Notamacropus eugenii: one gene and its partners. The protein of the gene in region 1 purifies or fractionates together with the protein of each later gene. This does not show direct contact. Links are inferred from orthologs where the notes say so. Each region holds a gene or a part of one and is shown in the gene's direction. Other genes may lie near its edges. The genes, in order: RPA1, HLTF and RFC5.

Region 1 (9,664 bases):
CCACAGAATCACAAAATCTCAGAATGGAAAAGGGCCGAATGCCACTGAGCCGGACTCCCCTACTCAGGATAGCCAGTGGGCATCCAACCCCACTTTGGCCTAGCTCTCGTTGCCTGTTCTGTCGTGTCTGACTCTTCGTGACTCCATTTGGGGTTTTCTTGGTTTATCATTTCCTTCTCCAGCTCATTTTACAGATGAGGAAACTGAGGCAAATAAGGGGAAGTGACTTGCCCAGGGTCACACAGACAGTGTTTGAGGCCTGATTTGAGCTTAGGTCTTTGTGATTTCAGGCCCAGTGCTCTAGCCACTGCACCAACTTAGCTGTTTTTCCTTTTATTAACTCTAAATCTGTATCTCTGCAACTTATACTGCTTAATTCTGCCTTCTAGGGACAAGCATCCCCATTCTAGTCTTCCACATGACTGCCCTTAACAGATGTTTGAAGGCAGCCAGCACATCCCTCTGGAGTGCTCTCTATTCCAGGCTGAGCAGCCCCAGTTCCTTTGATTCTTGTATGGCCTAGTCTCTGGGGAAACTGTTCATGGAGGGTGAAGCTCCCAGGAAAAAAAAAAAATCACCCCAACCCTGAATGTTCCCTCCTTATCTCTGCCTCCTACAAGCCGTATCCTCCTTTAAGACAGAGCTCAGGCACTGCTTCCTATTTGAAGTGTTTTGGTTCCCTGAAATGCTAGTACCCTCTCTCCTAAACTACCTTGTATTTAATTTTTACACACATATATTTATTTATTTTTATTTGTACCATATATCTCTTTAGATGTACTTGTCTCTCCATTGGATTTTAAGGTCATGGTGAGAAGGGAGTGTTTTATTCAGCCAACTAATATACTCAAGTTGGTCCAGATTAATCTGGATAGGGAACCTGGTGAAGTGGTCCCATTATTCACATCTGTACTGCACATTTCTACTGGGTGGGAACAATGACCATAGCTAACACAATCCTTACTCCAAACAGGGTCAATGTGAATACATACGACTGTTTCACAAGATTCATTATTCACATGAATCAGAACCTAGCTGTATTAAGTGCGTGCTATTGGCCAGGCACTATGCTAAGTGTTAGGGATACAAAGGTAGGCAAAAAAAAGCCAGTCCCTGCCCTGTGGAGATTCACAATCTAATGTAAATAACTGTACAAACAAGATATAGATGGGATAAATTGGAGACAATCAACAGAGGGCAAGCACTAGCATTACTGGGGACTGGGAAGGACTTTGTGTTGAGGGTGAGCCTTGGGGGAACCAGGTACAAGGGGTAGACATAGATAGCAAAAGGCTAACTTGGGCTCAGAGTATGGAAAAATTTCCCAGCAGTCAGAGCCCAGAGACTGGGCTGCCTTCAGGTTCCCTCTCAAAGGATGACTTCAATCAAAGGCTGTATTGCCGCCCATCAGGTAAGCTGTAGAGTCAAGCTTCTTAACTCAGCGTCTGTGAATACATTTTAAAAATTTTTGGATAGCTGCACTTCAGTGCAAGTGGTTTTCTTTGTAATCCCATGTGCTTGATCTTATACATTTAAAGCCAGAATTCTTAGAAGGGCTCCATAGGCCTCACCAGATAGACTGCTGCCCAAGGAGGCCAGGACCCACCAAAGGGGAAGCTCCCTGGTTGATGAGGGGACTCCTTTCATGTAATAGGTCCAACTAGGTGGTCATTGGGGCCCTTTGGAGCTCCCAAATTGAGGCTCAGTGAGTTATGTTTCGAGAGGTTCATCACCAGGATGGCAAAGGCATGTTGAATTTTTCAGCTGTAGCAATTCTCACAGACTTATCTACTCAGTTAAGTCACTAAGGGGCTGCAATCTCCAGAAGTGGAGGAGAAAAACCACATCAATGAAAGCGTAATCCTTGAACAACTGAAAAATCCCTAATGTAAATCTTTGCTTTCTTCCAATTGCTTGGTTCTAATATTAGCTCTTCTCCTAAACTGCTGATGTTGGGCCCAAGGATGGCTGAAATCCCTAAGACCACAATCACTCTACCCTCAAAGGAATGTGGCTCTGGCATCTCTTTTCAGAGGACTACCCTTCCCTAATTCTGCCACCTTTCACAGGTTGTCCCCCCCATACCTGCCATCATTCCCTCATCTCTACCTCTTCTGATCCCTAGATTCCTTCAAGGTTCAGCCAAAGGGCCTCCACCTAGATGACATCTCTCTCCAAACAATTTTGCTTTACTTTGCATGTACTTATATAAGCAATAATTGCACACGCCATAAAATGTAAGCTCCCGAGGCCAGGGACTTTCTGTCACTGCTCCTGGGTTTCCCTGCCTCAAGTTTCTCCCTACTCCATCCACCCTCCATTCAGACACTAAAGTGATCTTCCTTAGGGCAGCTAGGTGGTACAGTGGATAGAACACCAGTGCAGAAATCAGGAAGGCCTGAGTTCAAATGTCACCTCAGACACTTGACACTCATTAGCTGTGTGACCTTGGGCAAGTCACTTAACCCCAGTGGCCTCATCCTGGGTCATCTCCAGTCATCCTGATGAATATCTGGTCACTGGATTCAGATGGCTCTGGAGGAGAAGTGAGGCTGGTGACCTGCACAGCCCTCCCTCACTCAAAACAAAGTCAAGTGCAAGTCATGTCATCATTTCTCTGATGGACAAACACACACATGGCCCTCAAAGTGATTTTCCTAAAACACAGGCCATGTCTGGCCATGTCACCCCCCCCTACTCACTGGCTTCCTGAGACGTCCAGGAACAAATACAAAACACTGTGGCATTCAGAATCCTTCCTACCTTGTCCTTACCCACCTTTCCAGTCTTCTTACACCTTATTCCCCAATACATACTCTTTGATTTGGGGACCTTGGCCTCCCAGCTGATGCACAAACAAGATACTCCATGTCCCGAATTGTCTCTGCCCTCCCCCATGCCTGGAATGCTCTCCCTCCTCTGCTGTGACTACTGATCTCCCTGGCTTCCTTCAAGTCCCCAACAAAAGCCCAGACCAGCCCCTCCCCTCTTTTAATTATTTTCTATTTATCCAGTACCTTCGAACAAGGTTGTTCGCAGGCTCTCTTAAGTTCCTTGAGTGCAGGGACTGCTCTTTGGCCTCTCTTTGTATCCTGGCACACAGTAGGTGCTTAATAAACGTTTACTGCCTGTTTCCAGCACGTAGCTCTTAACTTCACAGATACTTGCGGACTGACCGCTTGTGATCCCCCCCTTCCTTAGGCTGCCGCTGAATTCTAGGACCAGAGGCTAAGGATGTTAATAGGGGCCCTCGGGTCGGGGCGCATCACACCCGTGGGATGGATTCTCCCCCAAAACAGAAAAAAGTGCAGAGAGGTGTCTTCACCCCACCGCGGGCTCTGGGCCCGGGGTCCGGCCTCTCACGTTTCCTGGCTGGGTGACCCGGGGCAAGTCGCTGAACCGCCGCCTGCCTCAGTTTCCCCGTCGGTAAAGCGGGGATCCTAACAACACCTCCCTCCCGGGGTTGTTGTGAGGACCCAGTGAGATCGTGCTGTAAAGCGCGCAGCCCCCAGCAGGCATGTAGTAGGCGCTCAATAAATGCTTCCTCCCTTCCCCTTTACAGCCAGAGGCTCACCTGGACAAGTCGCGGGCAGGGCAGCGCAGACCTCCCGGCTGGCCTCCCAGTCGCGCGTGGCTGCTCCCCGGCGTGGGCCTGGCTCGTTCGGCTGGAGTCACACGCCAGCCTGCGCTCCCGCCCCCCGGACGCTCAGAAATCCGGCCGGACGCCGGTGGGCGGGGCTTCACATCCTCCCCGCGCTCGGGGAGCCTCGGCCAATGGGCTGCCCGTTCGACTCTCTGAGCCCGCCCCCTACACCGCCCGCTTCCGGAGCGCGAGAGCGGCGCGCGCCAGGGCCGGGGCCGGGCCAATCAGATTTGAGCGCGCGGGAGAGGACCCCTTCCCCCCCCCCCCCCACCATCCCGGATTCCCGCTGACTCGGCGGACGCCGCTCGAACACACACCCGGGAACCTTGGGAGCGAGCTACCGGATCCCGGGCGGCCACGCAGCGGACAGCCATGAGCTGGCGCCTGAGCGAGGGGGCCATTGAGGTGAGGGGAGGTGAGGGGGGCGCGGAGCCGGCGGCTGCGGTGGCGGGACCCCGAGGAGGCGCAGGCCACGGGAGGGGGGTGGAGTCGGCGTTGGGGGGATCCCGCGCGCTCCTGGGGTGACTCTAGAAGAGGAGGCCTGTGCTGTGGGGAAGCGGGGCTCCCCGGATGTGGTGAAGACCCCGAGGGTCGGGGATGTCCGGAGGGCCCTCGGAAGTGTGGGGCCGTGTGTGGGGGGGGCGCAGAATCTGGTGACCCCCCCAGAGCCTCCCAGCCAGTGGTTTGTGGGAGCCCCCCGGGAAGGGGGAGCCCCGCACCCCCGAGGAGACGTCGAGCTGCCCCGGGGGCCAAGCCCGGGCATGCCCCCGGGGGGTGTCTAAGGCCGAGCACCCCGCCCTGGCCTCGGTCTTGGGGTTCGGGAGGCTTCCGCGGAAGGCTAAGCCCGACCCCCGCGTAATCCCTTTTATCAAGCAAACTCCTTTGTTTAGCGTTTAAAGTTCTTTCTAGTCCGGCCCCTTCCTACTTTTCCTGCCTCAGGCTTGACTTCCCCACTCGGCCCCCCTTCCCATTCCCACACTGGGGCCCACTTGGCTTTCCTCAAACGCAGCCCCCCCCTTGTGCCCCCGACATGCCCTGCCTGCCCATTTTCATCTCGTAGTTTTCCTGGATTCTTTTATTAAAGACTCAAATTTCCACTTATGCTGGCCTTTCTGGCCCACCCACCTGCTTAGCGTCCCCCCCTCAGATAATGTCGGATAACCTTCGTCAGGCTGTGGGTGCGAGGCAGGTACTTATCCCTTCTCTCCCCCCCACCCTCCTCTGTATTTATCTTGTTACCTACCTAGCTATTTACCTGTTGACTCCGCCTTTACAAGGGAAGCTCCTTCTGGTCTGGGGCCGTTTTTGTTTTGTTTTTTTATCTTCAGCACTTAGCATAACGCCTTGCCACATATTAAACCTTTAATAAATGCTTGTTGAGCATATATCAGATTGCATGCTGTCTTGGGGAAGGTTGAGGGAGGGGGACAAAGTTTAAAGTTGAAAAGCTGAATGTTGTAAACTCAAAATAAATAAATTTAAAAAAATAAATGCTTGTTGACTGAGTTCACTATTCTAGTTGTTTTCCTCTGGATGAATACTCTCAAATTCATTAAGATCCTATCTAAAATGTGACTCCAAGACTCTTTATTAGCCAGATATAGTCTGAACTAGGCAGAGTTCTGTGTTGAGTATTGTGTTTCTCTTGATGCAGTCTAAGATGGTGTGTCATCTTTTTTTAAAAGCTCATACCACACTGTTGATGCATATCAAGCTTACAGTCAATTCAATTTAACTTTTTTCACATGACCTGGTGCCTGTTGGTGCTTCTTTCCCCCATCTTGTACTTGTCAAGTTGATCTTTTAAAACTCAACGGTAAGACGTCATTCATCCCTATTAAATTGCATCTTATTTGATTCAGTAGAATGTTTATCCATTCCCTCCCAGCTCTATGTCATCTGTAGATTTGATGAGCATGTCCTTCTGTGCCTTTTCTTGTGATTGATAAGCACGTTCACAGGGTTCTCTGGGACACTTCATGGAGTACTTGACATTGAGCCATTAATGACTAGTCTTTGGGCTCACTCATTCAACCTATTTCCAGTTCACCCCACCTTAAGAGAATCTGTCATCCACATCTCTTCTGCAAGAAGAGCTTAACAGACTTCATCAAATGTTTTAGGAAAAAGAAGGCAAAAAAAAAAAAGGACTTACCATTAGTTGGCAGCACGTGTTCTTGAGGAAGCCATTGTGGTTTTTCACCATCACTTCTTTTTCTGGCTCTTCACTAACCATGGTGATTTTCATGGATCAGAGGTAAAGAGCTGGAAGGGGTCTTTGTAGAGTTATGTCTAGGCATCCTATTCTTTTCCTGAAAGCTTTGAAATTTGCTCTCCCACAATTCAAGGGGATATGACACACTAGACCATTTAGCTTCTTGTCTATCACAAATTCTAAGCTAGAATGGTCATTTACATTCCGGAAACAAGTTTTCTTCATTGATTCCTTTGCTTTTTTTGAAGGAAGAAGTTATTAAGGTAGGTTAAGTAATTTCTAGTTGCTTTGTTTTGGGCAAAGATAATTGGAGTTCCTCATCATAACCATATTATGCCTCAGAGCCAGGCTTGTGATTTCCTTATGTTTATCACTGTAAATAGCTATAGTCTGCTCTGTCTTTCTATGTAACTGTAGTCTATTTCTATCCCCGTTAATCTTCAAATGCCTGTTCTCCATCATACTTTTGTCCCTCTGGTTCCTGGATTTCCTCAAATTGGGTTATGTCTTTTGTGACCTCATCAACTTGCAAGAGTTTAATTCTCTTTGCCCTATGATTCCCAGATTTATATTTCTAGCCCCAGTTTTTCTCTTGGTCTCCATTTCCATATCACCAGTTGCCTGGTGGTGTACCTTAGCTGGATATTGAATTGGCATCTAAAATTCTGTATGTCCCAAAGAGAGTTTGTTTTCCCCCTCAAATCCATGCCAGTGTCTGTTTTTGCTTTTCTTTTTTTCCAAGTTTGAAGAAAAGTTAAAAAAAAAAAAAAGACTAGGGCTCTATCTTGTTTAGGCTGGAAGGACAAGAGCCACTTATGGGCCTGATCCCATTCTGATCAGCATGAGAGCTTTGACCTGCTCCATTTCTGACTTGGGCTGATTTGCTCCTTCTGAGACAACCTGGTGGCTCCTCACTCCTGAAGCTCCCTGTTTGCTGGGTTTTGTGCAGATACCTCAACTTAATGCATTGTAAGCCCAGGAGGTTCTTGCTAGGTCCACTCTGTCATGACCCTCCTGTCAAAGGCACCACCTGGCCTAGTCACTCAGGTTTGCAACTTTTCTCAACTCCTCACTTATCACATGTGTTCAGTGAGTTGCTTGATTTCCTTGTTTTTACCTTCATGACATTTCTCAAATTTTTTTCTGCTCATTCAGCTACCAGGCCCCCAATTACCTCATTTTTTTTTTTAATTTTGTAATGTTTAACAATCACTGCCATACAATTGTGATTTTATCCCCCCCACCTACCCCCCACTCCCCCCCTCCCTCCCCACGACTGCATACAATTCTGTATAGATTCTACATATACTTTCCTATTGAGTATATTTTCACTATAGTCATGCTATGTAGTCAGACTAAGATAAATGAAAGAAATCGTATAACAAATCAGAACATGATACACAAACACATACACATACACAAACATGATCTGCTACAATATGTGAGTGACTTCCATATTTCTCTTTCTGAGTGTGGCAGGCATTTTGCCTTGAGATCCTCCATTGGGATTTTTTTTTTTTTTTTTGGTAAGAAGTTCTTGTGTTATTACAAAAATCTAAGTCTACCAGAAAAAACTCTCACACACTGTGGTCGTTGCTGTGCATAAAGTTCTCCTGGTTCTGCTCCTTTCACTCAGCATCAGGTCATATAAGTCCTTCCAGGCCTCTCTGAAGTCTTCTTGTTCATCATTTCTTATGGCACAATAGTACTCCATTACATTCATATACCATAATTTATTCAGCCATTCCCCAATTGATGGACATCCCCTTGACTTCCAGTTTTTGGCAACTACATAGAGTGCTGCTATAAATATTTTTGTACATGTGGGACCCTTTCCCATTTTTATGATCTCTTGGGGATACAGTCCTAGTAGCGATATTGCTGGGTCAAAGGGTATGCACATTTTTGTAGCCCTTTGGGCATAGTTCCAAATTGCTCTCCAGAATGGTTGGATGCGCTCGCAGCTCCACCAGCAATGAATTAGTGTTCCAACTTTCCCACATCCTCTCCAGCATTTATCATTTTCTTGTTCTGTCATGTTTGCCAATCTTATAGGTGTGATGTGGTACCTCAGAGTTGTTTTGATTTGCATCTCTCTAACCAATAGTGATTTAGAGCATTTTTTCATATGATTATAGATAGCCTTAACCTCTTCCTCTGAAAATTGCCTGTTCATATCCTTTGACCATTTATCAATTGGGGAATGACTTGTATGATTATACATTTGGATCAGTTCTCTATATATTCTAGAAATGAGGCCTTTATCCCAATTACCTCTTAATTGCAACCTAAGAATCATCTTGGATGTGCCATTATCTCCTTCCCCCCTTCCCCCCAATTCAGGCTGTTGCTGGTTTTACCTTTGCACATCTTTGCAGTAGCTCTTGAATAGACCTCCTTCTCACTGACTTAGCCGTCAGCCATTGCGCAGGCTCTCATCAGTTCTCACCTTACTGCAGTGGCCTCCTGGTGGGTCTGCCGGAGTCAAATCTCTCCTCAGTCCATCCTCCATTCACCCACTATGGTGATTTTCCTAAAGTATAGGTATGATCATGTCACCTTCCTACTCAAAAAACTATGGTGGCTTCCTATGAATTCCAGAATCAAATACAAGATGTTCCATTTGGCCTTCAAAGCACCTGCCTACCTTTCTAGCCTTCTTATATCTTACTCCCTGCTATCCACTCTATGAGCTAATGATACTGGCCTCCTGGCTGTTCCACAAACGAGACTCTTGTAATAGCTTCCCAGTTAGTCTCCCTGCTTCAAGTCTTTCCACTCCACTTCACCAAAGTGATTTTGTTTAAGGGCAGGTCTCTCATTCTCCTCAATAAACATCCCTATTACCTCTAGGCTCAAAGGTAATCTCTTTTTGGTGTTTGAAGCCTTTTACACCCTGGTTTCACTCAGCCTCTATTTTTGGTTTTTTTTTTTTTAATTTAAATTTATTTATTTAAGTTTTCAACATTCATTTCCACAAAATTTTGAGTTCCAAATTTTCTCCCCATTTCTCCCCTCCCCCCACCCCTAAACGCCAAGCATTCTAATTCCCCCTATTACCAGTCTGTTCTCCCTTCTAATATCCCTCCCTTCCCTTATCCCCATCTTCTCTTTTGTCTTGTAGGGCAAGATAAATATCTATACCCCATTACCTGTATTTCTTCTTTCCTAGTTGCAAGAACAATACTCAACAGTTGTTCCTAAAACTTTTGAGTTCTAACTTCTCTTCATCCCTCCCTCCCCACCCATTCCCTTTGGGAAGGCAAGAAATTCAATATAGGCCATATCTGTGTAGTTTTGCAAATGACTTCCATAATAGTCATGTTGTGTAAGACTAACTATATTTCCCTCCATCCTATCCTGCCCCCCGTTTCTTCTATTCTCTCTTTTGATCCTATCCCTCCCCAAGAGTGTTCCCTCCTCCCACTGCCCTCCCTTCCATTATCCCCCCCATCCTGCTTATCCCTTTCTCCCCCACTATCCTTTATTGTAAGATAGGTTTTCATACCAAAATGAGTGTGCATTTTATTCCTTCCTTTAGTTGAATGTGATGAGAATAAGCTTCATGTTTTTTCTCTTTAATTGAATGTGATGAGAGTAAGCTTCATGTTTTTTCTCTCACCTCCCCCCTTTTTCCCTCCACTGAAAATTCTTATACTTGACTCTTTTATGAGAGATAATTTGCCCCATTCCATTTCTCCCTTTCTCCTCCCAATATATTTCTGTCTCACTGCTTAATTTCATTATTTAAAGATATGATCCCATCCTATTCAATTCACCCTATGCTGTGTGCGTGTGTGTGATCC
Region 2 (9,664 bases), on another chromosome or scaffold:
TTCCTTCTCTAGCTCATTTTGCAGATGAGGAAACTGAGGTAAACTGGATTAAGTGACTTGCCCAGGGGAACCCAGGTAGTAAATGTCTGAGGTAAGATTTGAACTCAGGTCTTTCTGACTCCAGGTCTGGTGCTTTATTCATGGTGCCACCTACCTGCCCAAATAGTGAAATAGTGCCATGTGGTAAATAGACCTTAGACTTCATGGATAGGCATAGGGTCCAGAAGTAAGGAAGGGAAAGCCCTGCTGCATTCTGTCCTGATCAGAATTCAGCTGGAATATTGTGTTCATTTCTGGATGCCACATTTTAGAAAGAACTTTGAGAAGCTGGAGACCATCTAAAGCACAGGTTCTTAATGCTTTTTATGTGTCCAGGATCCCTTTGGCAGTCAAGCAAAATACATGGAACATAAAGACCCCTTCTCAGAATCATGTTTTTTTAAATGGGCAAGATAAATTCATAGGATTACAAAGGAAACCAGTTATAAACCTGGAATCAGGAAGACCTAAGTTCAAATGTCACCTTAGATGCTTCCTAGCTGTGTGATCCTCAGCAAATCATTTAACCTCTGTTTGTTTCAGTTTCCTCATCTGTAAAATAGGGATAATAATACCACCTACTTCACAGGGCTGCTGTTTGGACCAAATGAGGTAACAGTGCTTGGCACATATTAAGGATTCTGTAAATGTTAGCTATCATCCTCATCACCATCATCACCATACATAGAAAGATGTAGGGGTGTTTAGCCTTATTGAAGAGAAGAGTTGGAGCAGAAATGATCATTTTAAAAAACTCTGTGAGGATTTTCATGTGTTAGAGGAATTAAGACCTTTTTCTTCATGACCCCAGTGGGTAGAGCTCTATGTCATTGGTTGAAGCTACAGAGGCAAAAAACAGCCTTAAAACCTTCCCTAATAGTGAGAACTATTTAAAAGTATCCTGAATTGTGGGTGTCACTCTCCCCATCACCCCAACCCAGAAGTCTTCAAGCAAAGGCTGGATGACCACTTCTTGGGCACGTTGGGGCAGTTGGGTGGTGCAGTAGATAGAAGCCTGGACCTGAAGTGTGGGAGATGAGTTAATGTCCAGCCTCAGACACTTACTACTTGTATGACTCTGGCTAAGTCATTTAGCCTCTGTTTGCCTTAGTTTCCTCATCTGTAAAATGAGAATAATAGCAGCACTTACCTCACAGGGTTGTCATGAGGGTCAAGTGAGATAATGTTTGTAAAGTGCTTTGAAAACCTAAGAGTCTACACTGTTCACACAAAGACTAGCAGATATTATATTGTAGAGAGTATTCTCATTCATGCACAGGTTAGACTAGGCAGGGCTTCCTAGACTTTTTCCACTTCTGACCCCATCTTGTGTTTCACCAGCATTCGATGGCGTTCGTGGTCTAAGGGCACTCAAAGTGCAAAGTGCACATGCTCTGTGTGTGTGTGTGTGTGTGTGTGTGTGTGTGTGTGTGTGTGTGTGTGTGTGTATTCAAAACCAAGGCTGCAGTGAAGCTGCAGATATAAGTGCTACCAGGAAACACCTTGGATCCATTGCATGTTTGATTTTAAATTAATTTTTGGTTGGTGCACTTTCAGAAATCTTTTACTGTTGCTAGATTTTTCATGCTCTCATAAGGGATCACGACCCACAGTTTGAAATGCTAGACTAGATGACATCTGATATGACCCTATCAATTTTAATCAATTAATAAATATTTATCATTTTATTATGTATGATTCCAGGATTCTGTATGTAATGATTGTTATTCTTATTTTTGAAAGGAAAATTTTTACTCCAATATAAGGATAATCAGGAACTGGAGAAAATTGGAAGTAGGTGTTTCAGAGCAGTTTCAGATCTGTTTCATGGGAACTCCTGCCAGGGCGTTAGAATGAGGGTGGGTGTTGGGTAATGGAATCAAACAAAAACTAACAATTTTTGAGAAAGAAGCATGGTCTTGGTCCTATGGTAGAGTTGTGAAAGGTTACTGAGTCTCATCCTGGGGCCTCCAAGGGATTTTTTTTGGGAGCAGGGTTTTTGGAACAAATCTGGAAATACAAAATGTGTAAATGATTTCCATTGATAAGGAAATTCTATGGGAATCCACCCAAATAGAAGGCAATCTGGGAATGGGAAAGGGGACTCTGGAAAATGGTAACCAGGCTTAGGGCAAAAATAGCAATTCCAAATTCCTGCCTTAGACTTCAGACACAGTTACTGATTATGATGATAATATGCCAACATTCTTTTAGTGATACGAGGGTGACTCCTCTGTGAAAATTAATTTATATGTATACAAATTCACTGTACAGTTTACATAGTTATAATTTATATGTGTATGTTAAATATTAACATATTGCATATCACATAAAATTTATATTAATAAATTACATATTATATACTTATATATGTATATATAAGTATGTGACATGACATCATTATATAAGTATATAAATTATATATTCAATCAAATAAAATTATGATAAATTAAATCATATAATTGACACATATACATACATATATATGTGTACATACATACCTATATACTGTAATACATATATAACATTTGGAGAATATGGGAAATGTTACAATATGTATATGTGTATGACATATGTATATGTATATATACAGACATGTATATTGAGAACTTGAGGACTATATCTTAACAGTTACATGGATGAGAGATAGGTATCTGTCCATTCTGTATAGGTAAATAATGTTGGTGAAAAATGAAGATTCTCTTCATTTCTTGATCCACTCATATATATATATATACACATATGTATGTATATATACACATGTATGTATATATACACATACACGCACATATATGTATATGTACACACTCACATATACACACATATGAAGGAGTACCTTGGTACAGGTGAATTTTAAGAAGAATAGCGTTAAATCAGGAGAGGGAAACATTGATGATGCCTGGTTTGAGGGGAGAATAATCTGCTTTTCCTACCACATGCCACACAAAGGCACTTAGCCCGGGCTCACTTGCTGGAGAGCCCTGATGACGACATCTGGCTAGGGAAACTGACACGATAAAGTCTGGATCCTCTGAGCTCGTGCCGCGGGCCGTCAGTTCAATCGGACCCCATTCAGAGTCTGGATCGAAACCATCTCTGTGCCCATCAAACACTTTATCTCCAGAGCTTGGTCAAACGGACTTCCAAAACATGGTCAAAAGGCAGACAGATTACAAACAGACTGGGGGGGAGGGGAGAAATGGGGAGAGCCTTTGGGACCCAAAATTTTGTGAAAATGAATGTTAAAAGTTAAATAAATTAATTAAAAAAATTACAAACAGACTGGGGGGAGCCTTAGGGTCATAGGGAAACTCAAGGCACGGTTGCCCGTAGTGTTTCTTGTAAAACTGGCTTCTGAACCCGGTGTTCATCTGGTCCCAGAGGAGTTACATCTGGCTTCAGTCCCAAGCTTTACTTCTTGGGCTGTCTTCACCCCAAAATAAAACGGGGAAGCCCCTCCAAGCGGATTCAGGAGCCGCGTCGAGAGCGGGCTGTGAAGACCGAGCACCGCGTTCCAAGGCGGTTCCGGGGTGATTGTTACCCAGAGCGCCCAGGTTCCCTGCTGTGCAGGGATGCCCCGGGGCACTGAGGCAGGTGCCAGCCGGGCGTGGGAACCCCCTCCCGCAAGTGCGCGGCTGGAGAAAAATGCCCCCGGGGGCACGGTCGTGCCTCCGGCAATGCACGCTCTTGGCAACTTTGTGTTTTTCAGTTTATTTTTTCCCTAAAGAATTCTTTTTTAGAAACAAATCACAAGGTCAAAGAACGAACCGGCCCGTCCAAGTTCTGATTAAGTGTCCAAGAGGGGCAGAAGGAGACCTAGTTTCCAGGGCTACTCCCGAAGGCGCAGCCCCGGAAACCTCGGGGTCCCGGGCCACGGGGCAGGAGCGTGCGGGGGGCAGCGGTCCCCAGGCGACCCCGGGGTTTCGCGAGAGCTCAGACTGCGGGAAGCCGACGGGGGCGGGAGGTTCCCTGCTGGGAAGGCAGCTGAGCCCAGGTGCGGGGCGGGGAGCGAGGAGCCCTCCCCCGGCTCGGCCCTCCCCGCCGGCCCCCGGGCGGGAGGGACTGCGCCGCGCGCCAACCCAGGGGGCGGGGAAAAGCCCGGATGAAACCAGCCGCGCGGGGCCCGGCCCACTCATCGCTTTGAATTCCAGCGCGGGGGCGGGCGCCGCCCTCCTCTTCCGCGCGCTGATTGGTCGAGGCCGGGGCGAGCCTGCCCTCGATTGGGGCGTGCCGCTGTCCGTCTCCTCAGATCGCGGGGCTGGGTTTGTTGCGGGAAGGAGACGGCGGCGTCGTTCGACGACGACGGGCGGAGGAAGGGACGCGACGTCGCCGCCGCCGCCGAGGCAGGAGCTGAGGCAGAGGTGGGGTGAGGGGAGGTGCGGAGCGCAGAGGCGGCCAGAGCTTCGGCTTCGCATCCCTCTCGCGGCGCGCTCGCTGCTTTCTCCTCGCTTTTCCCCAGCGGCGCGGCCCGGACCCGAGCGGCGGAGGCGGCGAGGCGAGGCGGGCCCGGGGGGCCTGAGAGCGGCGGGGTCCCGGACCCCGCCTTCGTGCCCAGCGCCATGTCCTGGATGTTCAGGAGGTGAACGGGCTGTGGGGGGGGGGCGGGTAACGGTTGTCCCCCGATCCCCAAATCGGCCCCCTCCGGGAAGTCCCCGCCGTGCGCGCGCCGGGTGGGAGGGGCCCCATCCCCGCCCCGACCCTCAGCGAGGGGTCCCCGTGTCCGAGACCTTGGCCCGGGCCGCTGGGGGAGGGGAAGGGGCGAGGGAGGAGGAGGGCACCGGGCATCGCCGCCCCTCACCTGTCCCGCTGCGGGAGTCCCGCTTAAAGGGGTCCGAAAACCCCCAAACACGCACAGCCCCGACCTGGAAAGAGACCGTGCGGTGCGGCGAGCTTGACCGGAGCGCTCTGTTTACCTCCCTTTAGGACGGACGCGCCCCAGGTGTTCTTTAAAGTGTGAGTTCCCCTTACTGCGTTTTAAACTTGCGGCCCCGGAGCCCACGCGCGGAGCTCCCGGGGGCCCGACCCCGCGCGCCGCTGCGGGGCCCCGGGCTTTTGTCTGGATGGTTCGGAAAGGAAACGCCGCTCGGGATGCGGGGCCGGTGGTTTTCCTCGGACGTAGACTCTCAAGTTTTCCCCGGGCGGGGGCTCCCCGTCTGCGTGCCCGAGCTGCCCCACAGTGTTCGGGCACTTGGGGTGCCCTGAAGCGTGAAGTGGGGGGGAGGGGGCGTTTGTATGTTGGAGAGGCAATTTGGGGTTCTGGTGAGGAGTCTGAATCTTACCCGTCCTCGGACCCTTCATGGTGCTTGTGTACTGTATATGTATACGTATGTAACATGTAGCGTGTGTGTAGTGTGTACATACATGTGTGGTATGGTGTGTGTGTATAGTGGGTAGTGTGTATGTAGTCTAGAATGTGTGTATATACGTATGTAGTACGGTGTGTGTATGTGTAGTAGGTAGTGTGTGTATAAATAGTACATGGCATGTATATGTGGTATGTGGTGTATGTATAGTATGTAGTGTGTGTATATACGTATGTAGTACGGTGTGTGTATGTGTAGTATGTAGTGTGTATAGTGGGTAGTGTGTATGTAGTCTAGAATGTGTGTATATACGTATGTAGTACGGTGTGTGTATGTGTAGTAGGTAGTGTGTGTATAAATAGTACATGGCATGTATATGTGGTATGTGGTGTATGTATAGTATGTAGTGTGTGTATATACGTATGTAGTACGGTGTGTGTATGTGTAGTAGGTAGTGTGTATAGTGGGTAGTGTGTACATAGTGTGTGTATATACATATGTAGTACGGTGTGTGTATGTATAGTAGGTAGTGTGTGTATAAATAGTACCTGGCATGTATATGTACTATGTGGTGTATGTAGTATATAGTGTGTGTATGTATAGTATGTAGTGTGTGTATAAATAGTATATGGTGTGTGTATAAATAGTACATAGCATGTATATATAGCATATGGTGGGTGTACAGTATATAGTGTGTGTACATATATATATGTTTACACACTATGGGTACGTACACATAAATGTATAACAAGATTGTGGCCCCCCTGGAACTAATGAACCCTTTAGCAGTGGAGATAAACACATTTAAAATGCAGATTCACTGTACAAACACTATTGGCTTTTCGGCCTGGAATGGAGGCCTTAGGGAAGGTTCTAGCAAGGTGCTCTGGGACTAACAAGAGATCTTTTCCTGGGGCTTGGATCTAGGTGTCTTCATGGTGGGGTGGGAGGGGTTGTCAGTCAAGAAACATTTGGTGCCTACTCTGCCAGGCAGAGACAGAAAGAGGTGGCACTTGAGTTGGGCTTTGAAAGCTGGGAGAGATGTTCTAGGATGTAGGGAATTGTGAGAGAGAAGTTTGAAAGAGTTGGTGGAGTCCCTACTGGGCAGGAATAGGGAATCTGGACTTTATTTTATAGGAAAGAGGAGGAGTATGAATGCTAGACTAAGGAATTTGAACTTCATTCAGTAAAAAGGAGAAGCTATTGAAAGTTTTTGAAATAATGTACACAAACCACTTAGCAAACCTGAAAGCACTATAGAAAGTGCTTTTAACTATTATTTTCTGAGTACAGTATGTATGATAAAACAGACTTGTACTTTAGGAAGATAAATTTTGCTTTGAGTCTGGGTGGATTGTAGAGAGAAGAGACTGTGAAAGGTGCTGGGAACTTGAACTAGAATGGTCACAGTGGAAATGGAAAAGAGGGGATGCATTTTATTGATTTATTGTAAAAACTTGTTGCCTGGATATATGTGAGTTGAAGCAGAGAGAGGCAAAAGGTGACTGAGCAGCCTGACCAAATAGTGATGATGCCATTATCATGGAGGAATTGAGGAATTCTGAGCTGCTAGGAGAGAGGAAAGTTACTAGACTAATTTGGCCAGAGTAAGGTAGAAATGCTGGCGTTGCATCCGTCCAAATGCAGGTGTCAGGCAGGAGTGGGAAATGTGGAACAGGATCTGGGGAGAGGTTGGAAGCCATTGGCACAGAGTAGCAATTGAAGCACTGAAAGGAAGGTGGAAAGAGAGCTAAAGAAAAAATATTAGGATTTTGCTGCTTCCATATCCGTCAGTGGAAATTTTGCATAGTTTTTGTACTGATTTTTGAAATAGCATAACATATTAAAGTAAGTTTTACAAAGATTGGTGTTTCCAGACAGATTTTGAAGAATAGTTTGGATAAGTGGTTCTATGTGCAAAAAACTGAAAGAACCTCCACATTATTCTTTCATTTTTAGTATCTGTTGATTAAGAGAATACATGATAAACTATTGTGATTTAAATGTTTTTAAGTGAAATCCTGATTTATTATAGTACTGTAGCATTATGAGGCATAAGTGACAGAGTGGATAGACACCTAGACCTGGAGTCAGGAAGACCTGAGTTCAAATTCAGTCTCAGACATTTACCGTCCTGCGTGACCCTGGGCAAGTCATTTAACCCCTGTTTGCTTCCATTTCCTCATCTGTAAAATGGGGATAATAGTAGTACCTACCTCCCAGGATGGTTGTTGTAAGGATCAAATGAGATGATTTTAAGGGGCTTAGCGTGGTGCAGAGTAGGTACTATATAAATTTTAACTATTATTAGAATTCAGTCTGTAGGTTTGTTTAACTTCTACTGAATCATTAAACAGAACTGGTTAGTCTTGAATCGTTGACCAAAAACTGTATCCTCAAAATCCAAATCCAGCACCAGCATTGTATAAGGAATTGGGGGGAGGGGGGGCGGTTTGTGTGTGTGTGTGTGTGTGTGTGTGTGTGTAGAATATAAACAGCAATTTTTTTAATGGCAAGAGTTTGCTAGAATCTTAGCACAAATCCATTGCAGGTGTGCTTGAACTTTTCTGTGGACCTAATTGTTAGTTTGATAAAGCCTTTTGACCCCTTTTCAAAATAATGTTTTTAAATACATGGGATTACAATGAAAACAATTACATTGAAATACAGTTAGCAAAGTTTTCAAATTAACAGATCCAGGTTAAGTACTTGTAATTAAGTACTTAAGTACTTTTTAAATACATGGGATTACAAATGAAAACAATTACATTGAAATACAGTTAGCAAAGTTTTCAAATTAACAGATCCAGGTTAAGTACTCTTTCATGACTTAGTCATTAATGATGTTTATGTTTTCTGATTTATATATTTAAATGTACTGATTGATATGTTTGGAGGGAAGACTGGTAGCAAGCATATGCTACGTAAATACAGTAAAACGCTTAGGAAATGACTCTTAATTGTAAATCACTTTTGGAGAGGAGAATGGCTATTTGATAAAATTTCGTGCCATGTGAACATCAATTTGATATTTCTAAAATTGCTGTTACCTATTGAAATAATCATACTCTCATATAGTAGAGGTAAGCTATTTTATAATGGCATTATTTTTAATCCCCTCATTAAGATTTTGACATACAGGTAAAGTTACAATATAAAGCATATATTTTGAATTAAAAGAAAGTTTTTTGTAAATAGGTTGTCAGCCACATGGAAAGGAACATGTGAAGTCATTTATTCTGCAGGACTTTACATTTCATAGTTGGGGTGACAGATGTATTATAAAGATAATCTGTGGTCATGGGGAAAGAATTTGGGTAGGTCATGTTTCAGGAATAGGGGAAACGAGAGGAACTATACCATGGGACCCTAAAATGAAGGTCAAGAGGTATTGGACTTGGGTGGGAGGAGCCATTGGTCCAGTTATTTTGGACCAAGTTTAGAGATGGTGACTTTTAAGGGATTGTTGATTGGAATATTTGGTGTGTACGTACTTGATGTGAGCCAGAAGAGGGTGGTATATAAAAAAGATTCACTGAAACCAAATGGGCAAAATTCTCAAAAATCTGTTCACAAGGATATAGAAATAGTACTTTATAAAACAGTACACTATTAAAGTTATATTCCTTAAAATTGGATTTTACCTGAGTGTTTAGAAGAAAATAATTGGAACCTGTTTTAGGTATTCAGAATACGTTACATTAAAATTGCAGGATATATAAAATCTATAAATACTTTACTTAATTCCAGGAAGAAGAGATACTAAATTTTCTGAACTAATGGTTCCTAAAAGTAGTTCAGTCAAGGGACAATGAGAGGTCCTAGATGGACCATGTCACTTAAAAGGGGAAAGAGGGAGAAACCTTGGAGCAGGAAAGGACCTTATTGATCCCAGTTCCTTTGATGCCAAATTTGGTTTGTTTGTTTTTTTTCCTTTTTCTCCAGTTTTACCATGCTGCCTGTCAACCCCTCATTTTATAGATTGAGGACAAAAGTGATGGGACTTGGTCAAGGTCATTCAGTTAATGGTAGAACCAAAGACAAGTATTATGACTCCCAGATCACTACCATACAACCTTCCTTATATATCATCTTTACAATATTGAGTAACAATTTGCTTATATTTAATAAAAAAAGACAACTTCATGCAAAGTAAGACTTGACTTCCCGTCCTCCCCCCACCCCCCTTGTTTTAAATAGGGATCCTCTTTGGAAATATTTGCAGTCATTCCAATATGGAGTCCATGGAAGTTTTTCACACTGCACCTATTCCAATTTATTTTCTCCTTTTGAGCCTGAAGAGGTCCCTCCAGAGGACTTGA
Region 3 (9,664 bases), on another chromosome or scaffold:
TTTCAAAGTAATGGCAATGTTGACCCCAGATCAACAGCTGGGAATGGGTTTTATGGTGAGTCAAATGGCAAGATGACCAGAATGAAGAATGGCCAGATCTAGAACCGGCCAGAGTGGACTCTCACCAGTCTGGTTCACAGAGGCTTCAGAGCAAGAGATTCAGAGTAGAATGACCCAGATCCTTTAAGGCACGGTCTCTAGTCAGAGCAATAGCAAGTAGAGGGTAGATGGAAAGATGGTTATCATCCTTGTAACTCTGCCAGGAAAGGAAACTCAACAAGCACTTATTAAGTATCTACTATACATAAGACATTGTGTTAAGCACTAGGGATGAAAAGCCACAAAACACCCCCCTACCCTCCAACAGTTTACATTCTGCTAGAGAATGCAATACTCATCATTTTAAAATACAAGATAATTTGAGGGAGAAAAGAACTTTAACCACTAAGGTAATCAGAAAAAGTTTAATAGAGGAGATGGCACCTAAGCGGAACTTCAAAGGAAAGTAAAAAATTCTAAGAGGCAGAAGTGAGGAGGGCATGCATTTGAAAGATGGGGAATGGGTTGTGCAAAATTGTGGAGATGGGAGCTGGAGAGTCAAGTTTAGGAAACAGCAAGATGTCCAGATTGGCTCTTCCCATTAAGACTGTGAACTGTTTGAAAGAAGGGACTGGTTTTATTTATCTATCCACTCATTTGTTTGTTCATTCACTTATCTATTTATTTAACTAAACATCTATCCAATCATTCATCCATTTGTTTCTCTGTCTTTATATCCTCAGCACTTAGCATAGCATCTGACACATAGTAGGACTTTAAAAAATGCTAGCTGACTTGACCTGAATTAAGCTCATGTGAACAAGGGTAATATAAAATCAGCCAGGAAAAATGAGCAGCAGCTAAGGAGTTTGAGTTCTAACCTACAGGGAATAGGATTCATTGGAATCTCTCGGGCATAGTGGTGACATGGTCTTATTGATGATACAGGAATATTCATTTGAGAACTGTGTGGATGATGTATTGAAGTTGATTATAACATCATAAATCTAAAGCTGGAAAGACCTTTATCTAGTCATCCTCTAGTCTAACTGCATTATAACACAGATAAGGAAACTGAGGACCAGAAAGTTGTGACTTACCAGAGGTCACACACATATCAAGTAGCAGAAGCTTCAGTTAGAAAGCAGGTCCTTAGACTTCAAATCCAGCAATTATTCCACTCCATCAAGGAGACCAAAGTTGGGGGAAAGGTAGAGCAGGGAGACAGTAGTCATTGAAAAAGTTCAAGCAAGAGGTGACCTCCTCCTAGGTCACCTTCTGGTTTCCTTTAAGGCTCAATTTAAATCCTGCTTTCTGCAGGAAACCTTTCTTAAACTATTCATTTCTAGAGTCTTCCATCTGGGATGGAATCTCAGAAATACCAGATTCCACCCCAGATAGAATCCTTCCAAATTATAATACATATGAGGCAGCTAGGTGGTACAGTGGATAGAACCTTGGATGAGGAGTCAGGAAGATCTGAGTTCCTATCTTTCCTCAGAAATTTACAAACCGTGTGGCCCTGGGCAAGTCATTTAACCTCTGTCTGCCTCAGTTTCTTCATCTGTAAAATGAAGATGATAATAGCACCTACTGAGGATAAAATGAAACGTGTATAAAGTGGTATAGAAATACTAATTGTTATTAATAAATATATGGTATGTGCAATTTTTTGTACATTGTCTCTCCCTTTAGAAGGTGAGGTCCTTGAGGGCAAGGCCCTGTGTTCCTGTTTTTGCCTTTCTTTGTACCTCCAATGCTTAACACAGAGCCTGGCTCTTATAAGACTCTGATAAATGCTTGTGTATTGGACTGACTTACTGGTGGCTATAAAAATAGTAAAAAAGGAGACAATGCAAGAGGTATTGGGGAGGTAAAAATCAAGAAGACTTAATTACTAGATATAGGGGAAGCAAACATAGAACAACCAAGCATCCTCTCTCAAAAAAAAAAATAGAATGCTAGCTCTTTGAAAGCAAAACTCTTTCCTTTCTTGTCTTGATATCTCCAAGACTTAGCACAGTGCCTGGCACAGAGCAGTTACGACTTGTTGGATGAATAAATGAATGAAAGAGTGAAGGAAGGAATAAATGAATGAGTGAATGATTAATGAATAAAAGCACTAATAATGGAAGGAGGGAATGAATAAATGAAAGAATAAAGATTTTTAAAGCACCCACTATGTGCTAGGTACATTTGTAAATATGACTTCCTCTGATCCTCACAACTCTATGAGGTGGGTGCTGTCATTATCCCCATATATCCCCATATCCTCAGGAAGGGAAGGAGGAGGGAAGGGAGGGAGGGAGAGAGGGAAAAGGGAAGGGAGAAAGGGAGGGAGGGGGAGAGAGAGAGAGAGAGAGAGAGAGAGAGAAGGAAGGAAGGAAGGGAGGAGGGAAGGGAGGGAGGGAGGAGGGAAGGAGGAAGAGAGGGAGGGAGGAGGGAAGGGAGGGAGGGAGGAGGGAAGGGAGGGAGGGAGAGAGGAGGAGAGAGAGAGAGAGGGAGAGAAAGAGAGAGAGAGAGAGAGAGAGAGAGAGAGAGAGAGAGAGAGAGAAGGAAGGAAGGGAGGAGGGAAGGAGGAAGAGAGGGAGGGAGGAGGGAAGGAGGAAGGGAGGAGGGAAGGAGGAAGGGAGGAGGGAAGGGAGGAAGGGAGGAGGGAAGGAGGAAGAGAGGGAGGGAGGAGGGAAGGAGGAAGGGAGGAGGGAAGGAGGAAGGGAGGAGGGAAGGAGGAAGGGAGGAAGGAAGGCAGACACGTGGACTCCTTTCATGCGGCGTCCCCCTGATGCATCCCTGCTGCTCCCTGCTTTTCCTGCACCCTCACCCTCTTTGCCGGACCTCGCTCTCCCTTCCTACCACAGACTCTCCGCCCGAGCCTCTCCGGACCTGGCCACGCAGCAGGACCAGATGCTCTGTCCCCAGCCCCTGCCTCTGACAGGCCCGGCCTGACTGCGCCTGCGCACGACGCGAGCCTCGCGGTTACCTAGCAACCCACTCCCAGCCTTAGCAACCGAAATGGGCGGGGCGAACTTCCCGAAGGGGTGTCTGGGAAGAAAAATAGCAGGGGCCGGGCGGGCTCGGTGGCCTGGTCAAGTCTCGCGAGAGCAGAGGCGGCGCATGCGCGCGCGCGCGAGCTGTGGCGGGAAAGGAGATGCAGGCCGCGCTTTAGCCGATTTCCCGCTGCGCTTAGGTCTGTGGGTCCGCTCAGGGTCAGCGCCGCCATGGAGGCCCCGGCCGTCCGGCAGCAGCCACAGCAGCAGCCTGCGGCCAAAAGCAGGAACCTGCCCTGGTAGGGGGCCGCGTCCGGGGCGGGGCGGGGCAGGGATCCCGCAGCCTGGAGACAGACCCGGGCGTGGGACTGCGCCTAGGTGGGCAAGGGGCTGGGTTCAGAACCCAGGGCGATTCCAGAGGACGGTTGAGGAAACCGAGGCCCGGGAAGGGACACGTAGGGGCTTAGAGTTAGAGGTGGGGGCGATCCCAGAGAGCACCGAGTGAGGTCAGGGCCGAGAACAGTGAAAGTGACGGAGGGTCATCGGTTTAGGGCTCGACGCTCTTGGCCCCTCCCCCTCCTTGACAGTCTCCACTGTAGGTTTTCAGGGAACCCCCCTCTCTGGGCCTCCTCCTTATCTGACTGGTCCTTCTCAGCCTCGGACTTGGCTGGATCTTCCTTCAGATCACACCCTCTGTCCAGGACCCTCTTTATGTTCTCCTTCCGCACCACTTCACTTGGTGACCTCATCAGCTCCCCTGGATTTAATTATCATTTCTATGCTGATGATTCTCAAATCTGCTTTTCCTGCCCCAAACGCTCTACTGACCTCCAGTCTCATATATCCAACTGCTTCTCAAGCATCTGGAACTGGTTGTCTGGCAGATATCTTAAACTCAGTATGTCCAAAACAGAACTCCTTATTTTCTCCTCATTACCTGCTACCTTCCCTGTGACCTTCAAGGGTGCTACCATTCTCCCAGTCCTGCAGACCCACAACCTAGGAGTCATCCTGGTCTCCTCACTATCACCCCCCGGATCCAGTTTGGTACCATGGCCTGTCAGTTTCACCTCTGCAGCATCTCTTGTCCATTTCACTTTTGCAACATCTCTGGTAGTTTCACCACTGCAGCATCTGTCCATTTCACCTTTGTAACATCTCTGGTCATTTTCACCTCCAGCATCTTTCAAATATGCCCTCTTCTGTATCACTCTATCTCCTGCTGTCACTCTGGTGGCGACCCTCATCAGCTCATATCTGGACTGTTGTAATAGCCTGCTAGTGGATCTACCTGTCTCCAGTCCTAGACTCTTCCTGCCTTTCTAGTCTCCTTTCACCTTACTGCCCTTTACCTACATACTCAGATCCAGTGGCACTCACCCATCATAGAAAGATACTACCATCTCCTGACTGGGTATTTTCCTTTTCCATAAAATGAAGGAGTTAGGTTATTCCAAATCCACTAAAAGTAAAATTGTAAATCAAGATGTTGTGGTTCTATCTCACACCCAGAGATTGGCCAAGATGATAGCATCGTCAGTGTTGGAGGGTCTGCTGAAAGACAGAGGCACTAATAAGAAACAATAGGAAGAATTTAGAGGAGGTTGGAAAGATGTAGGTGTTCTTGTGAGTAAAGTAAGCAGAATCAAGAAAGTTCAATGACTGCATGTCCCACCTACTCCCGAGTCTAGTCAGCCTTACCTCCACTGCATGTCCTGTCTCTGCTTCCACCCCCAACAACTCTCACCTAGACATGTGCTGAAGCTTCCTCATTCCCTACCCTCAACCCCATTTCAGATTCCTCACAGTCAGCCCACATTGCCCCCAGATGCCAATGTGATCTTCCCAAAGCCTCTATCTCACAGTGTCATGCTTTTGCTCGTAGGGCTCCAGGGGGGCCCTTTTGCCTCCAAAATCCAATGCCAACTTCTTAGATTAGCACTTAAAGCTCTTCACAGCCTCTCTTTTCAGACTTGGTATACTGCTTTTCCCCTTTATGCAATCCAGTCATACTGACCTAATTAATGTCCTTCACACATGATTTTCCATCCCCCAACCTTTGAACTAGTTGTACCCAAGCCTACAGTGCATTCCTTCACCTCCATCCCTCAGAATCCCCAGCCTCCTCCATAACTCAGCCAGGTGGGCTCTCCTGCTACAGACAGGGTCTTTCTTGATCCCCCACAACTTCTAGTGCTTCCCCCTTTCATCCCCAAAATTACCTTGTGTTTATTTTATGTAATTTTGTATCAGTTTATGTGTACACATTGTCTCCTGTGCCCTGAGGTAAGCTCTTTGGGGGCATGAACTGCTTCTGTCTTTGCCATTTTTGTCTCTTCTGCTAGATTTAGTTCCTGGCATTTAACAAGCTCTTAATGAATGCACAAAATAAACAGAACTTCTCCCGCCCCCAAAAAAGCTGAATACTTTTTAGTTTATAATGATTAAGTGTTACCTTGGAGAAGAGTTGAGAAAATATTTCTCCCTCCCTTCTTTGCAGAGGTGGAAGAGTGGTATGGAATGGTACATATACAAGGCTGCATATGCACGATAAAAATTGTAAAATTCCATTCTCTAATCATAACTTATCTCCCTAAGCCTCTTCTTCATATTTCCCATGACCCCCACAGTGCACTTTCCCAGGCCGTCACCCCATTCCAGCTCCACTTCCCTTCCCAATTTTGATCTTTAGTTAGTCAGTTCAGTTACAAGCCTTCCTCTGCTCTTGAATCTCTTGCACTTTTGTCCTGTTAGAAGAAAAGGAGGATTTATTAAGCACTTGGCTGTGTGTCAGGTATATTACAAATATTATCTCATTCAATCCTTACAACAACCCTGGATCAGTAGGTATTGTTGTAATCTCCGTTTTACAATAAAACTTGTCCAGGATCAGACCACTAGTGTCTGAGGTAAGGTTTGAATTCAGGTAGGTCTTCCTGACCCCAGTCTCACCACTCTGTCCACTGAGCCCTAGCTGCCTCTGTTGCTGCCCCTATCTTGCCAAACAGTAACCCTGGATCTTTCCTGTTCTCTGCCTCCTGACTTCCCACTGGCATCCTGCTGAACAAACCAGGACAGAGTCACATCCAGCCATGTTGGGTAAATGTATGTTATCTAATCCCAATGGTATCCTCCCTCCTGCAACTAGACTATCATTTTACTCCCAGTCCACAGTCAGTTCTCTCTCTCACTCTTCAGAGTGGGTTTTACAAAGCTTTTCTGTCCTCAGAACTCTAATATTGCCTCCTCCCTCAACCCTCACACCTCCTACTTTACTGAAAGAAGCCATTTACTCCCTAGAAGAAGGAGCTCCCTCTTCTCTCCATCTCAGAATCCTTTAATATCCTCCCTCATTCTCTTCTTTAATTCCTCCTTTCCTTCCCCTCCCCTCTATAAAAGGGGAATGGGGTGTATGGGGGTATTCAGGGAAGACTAGCCCTCTGAGTGTCCATCCATCTCAACTCTCACCTGTGACTCCAAGATGCTGTAGCATACACAGAGCCACACCCTGGTAAAACTGTCTAAGCAGGTGGGCTGCATCAGGTTGAGGATAACTGATAGGCCTCAAACCCATCGGTGAGTTAGGGGGGTGTCTACCTCAAGCAGGTGAAGACTTTCCCCAGCAGGATGGGTAATTGCCTGCCACTGGACTTCAATGACTCTGGAAGAGAGCGAGGGTGAGGACTTTGTGCAGCTCTGCCTCACTGAAATCCAGTTTGCCCATGAGCCAAGACATCACCTGTCACGTCACTGGTGCTCTTGGAAAATAACAACATAAAAGAGAATCTGCTTCCTCCTTAGGTGACCCGTTCTCCTTTGGGATAGCTCTGATTCTTCAAAGTCTTTGAATCAAACCTCAATCTGCCTTTTTTGCAGTTTTCCCCTCTGCTGCCAGTTCTGCCCTGTGGGGCTGGGCACAAAGATCCTTTTCCCCAGGAGGGTCCTTGAGATACTTAGACACAGGCTGCTGTGTCCCCACTCCATCTTCTCTGAGCTAAATATCCTGATTCCTCCAACAACAAACCAGACCCAAAGCAGGAGTTCACAGTCCACACAGAGAAGGAATAACCCTGTAACTAAAGGCTCAAAAGGAATCCTAGGCTCAAGAGAAAAGTTGAGGAGAGGAGAATACAGTTCTTTAACACCAAATACTTTATCCCAACTTGTGACCTCCTTTCAGTAATTTATCTCCTATCTGTCAGTGATAGTAAGACTGTGGGTCACATGGCCACTTGGGCTGTGGCTGTAGCCTCTGTTTTCAGTCTCCTTTCTCTGATCCATTCCTCACACAGCTGACAAAACAATCTTCCTGAAGAATGCATCTGGCTGTTGTCTTCTCTTGCTCTTGCCTATAGGGTAAAGTAATAACACTTGACTTGGAATTCAAGTTCCTACATCAAGGGATATGTTCTGTGAAGTTTGGATTCAGCCAAACGGCCGCACTTGAGCACCTAGAGGGCCACATGTGTCCTCAGGACCTAGGGTTCCCCACCCCTGCCCTCCATAGTCTGCTCCAGCCTGCCTTCACAAAATTCCAGCCAACTTGACGTATTTGTAGTTTGCCAGACATGGCTCTCCAAGTACTATTTGTAGACTTCAGTCCCTCCTCCCCTCTGTGTTCTTAGCTTACTGCGAGGCCCAGCTCAGGTGCTCATCCACCCCCCAACCACCTCTCAGGAAGCCTTTCATGACTTTATTTTTCCTATGGGCATGTCCGTAACTCTGCATGACCTTTTCCCTCCCATGTGATAGTCCAGATGCTTCAGCACAGTGATCTTGCCCATCAGCTGTGAGCTCCATATGGACGAGGAGGAGTTCTTTTCTTGGTAGCCCCAGCACAGTGCATTGCACATAGGAACTTAATGAATATTTGTTATATTGAATTCAGTTTGAGGGAATTAGTCATTGTGCTTCATCAAGAAAGATCTGTGTACCTAGAGCCAGAAGGGACCTCAGAAACCATCTAGTCTAAACTCCTTATTGTACACATGAGAAAATGGACCTAGAGAGGATAAGCCCAAAGTCACAAGGGTAGTTGTGCCACAGGTGGGGTTTGGAATCCATTGTTAGTACTTATTGAACCACATTGGCCCTGGCCTGTCTCATCTTTGGGAACAAACAGATATGGGTAAAATCCTCTGCATGCACAGCCAGAGCCTCACAGGTAGTAGTACATGTTCTACAAATAATTTAGAATGCATGAGGATTCTTAGTGGGAACACAGTAGATTTTAAACTCTTGCTTATACTAAAGTCTTTTTGTCAATATTTTATATTGTAATATGTATGGAAATTCTTATTTCAGGGTTGAAAAGTATCGACCACAGACACTGAATGACCTAATCTCTCATCAGGATATCCTGAGCACCAGTAAGTGTCATGTGTTTCAGAATCATAGATTTAGAGGTAATTAATAACCCTTGTCCTCCCATTTGAAGGACCTGAATGTCCTACTGTTGTCTTTCCAATGGTGGCATAACAGTATTTTTAATGTAATTTAATTTGTCATCTTAGAATATGCCCTAAGATTTCCATATCCTGGGAATGGGCTAGAGAAGCTCCCTACATCAGGAGGTAGATGTGCCAAATTTGATGTTCCCTCTCTTCTCCATCTTCAGTCCAAAAATTTATCAGTGAAGATCGACTGCCACATCTGCTTCTCTATGGCCCCCCTGGGACAGGAAAGACATCCACCATCTTGGCCTGTGCCAAACAACTCTACAAAAACAAAGAGTTCAACTCTATGGTCTTGGAGGTGAGTTCTCCCTTACTGTAGAGTTCCACATTTACATTTGAGTCTGTAACTCCGTGAAGTGGGTCTCCGACTGTCATTAATCCTATTTTATAGAAGAAGCAGTGGGGGCTCAGAGTTTAAAAGGCTTGGTTACAAAACCTAGAAAGGGTCTAAGTTAGTATTTGAACCCAGGTCTTTTTGACTCTTAAGTACAGTAAGACTTCGGACACTATCTTCTATGTGGCTCTTGGTATGGCTATGGAATTAACCAAGATATTCAATTTATCTTCAGGTCTTCAGTAACACAATAGCTTGTTTTATTTTTCTTTGAAAAGTAAGCCACATAAAGGGGCAGCTAGGTGGTGCAGTGGATAGAGCACTGGCCTTGGAGTCAGGAGGACTCCAAGTTCAAATCCAGCCTCAGATACTTAATAGTGGGGTGACCCTGGGCAAGTCACTTAATGCCTCCAAAAAAAAGAAAGATAAGTAATCCACCTGGGCCCAATTAATAGCCTGAGATCAAATTTGTTATGAGGCATTTCCAGGTTTACTTCTGACAGTGGTATCATATGCGTGTAAGTTAGTCCTAGTTAATAGAACACCCTTCTGACTGGACTTGGCCACATTGTTTGTCAACTTCTCCCTGGAGCCAGTTACAAATCTCTCAAGACTTTGGGCTTTATATATAGTTATATTCTACGAGGTTACATTTCATTCTTTGTTTGGCCATTCAGAAACAGTGTTGATGTTATGGTCATGCCAATGTTACCATTCTTTGCATTTTAATCTTGTAAAAATTCTTCAACTTATGAAAATATTCTCTGTAGCATCATTGTTCCTGCTTTGCTATCCAGGATGACCAGGCGACTAATTGTTCCTTTAACTTAGATGAATATGCTTATCCT

The links.
Region 2: the proteins of RPA1 (region 1) and HLTF purify together in Homo sapiens (affinity purification with mass spectrometry, with the first as the bait; 4 studies listed by BioGRID). This does not show direct contact. The link is inferred for Notamacropus eugenii from reciprocal best matches to the Homo sapiens genes RPA1 and HLTF.
Region 3: the proteins of RPA1 (region 1) and RFC5 purify together in Homo sapiens (affinity purification with mass spectrometry; 3 studies listed by BioGRID and IntAct, with this or other methods). This does not show direct contact. The link is inferred for Notamacropus eugenii from reciprocal best matches to the Homo sapiens genes RPA1 and RFC5.

The regions. Positions count from the first base shown.
Region 1 is NC_092873.1:39,859,401-39,869,064, forward strand, and holds the start of RPA1 (replication protein A 70 kDa DNA-binding subunit), read left to right. Parts: upstream 1-3,832; 5' UTR 3,833-4,015; coding exon 4,016-4,048; intron 4,049-9,664. UniProt on the Homo sapiens protein: As part of the heterotrimeric replication protein A complex (RPA/RP-A), binds and stabilizes single-stranded DNA intermediates that form during DNA replication or upon DNA stress.
Region 2 is NC_092877.1:337,868,270-337,877,933, reverse strand, and holds the start of HLTF (helicase-like transcription factor), read left to right. Parts: upstream 1-4,361; 5' UTR 4,362-4,598; coding exon 4,599-4,618; intron 4,619-4,962; coding exon 4,963-4,992; intron 4,993-9,542; coding exon 9,543-9,664. UniProt on the Homo sapiens protein: Has both helicase and E3 ubiquitin ligase activities. Possesses intrinsic ATP-dependent nucleosome-remodeling activity; This activity may be required for transcriptional activation or repression of specific target promoters.
Region 3 is NC_092875.1:27,512,666-27,522,329, reverse strand, and holds the start of RFC5 (replication factor C subunit 5), read left to right. Parts: upstream 1-3,099; 5' UTR 3,100-3,257; coding exon 3,258-3,325; intron 3,326-8,330; coding exon 8,331-8,395; intron 8,396-8,643; coding exon 8,644-8,780; intron 8,781-9,664. UniProt on the Homo sapiens protein: Subunit of the replication factor C (RFC) complex which acts during elongation of primed DNA templates by DNA polymerases delta and epsilon, and is necessary for ATP-dependent loading of proliferating cell nuclear antigen (PCNA) onto primed DNA.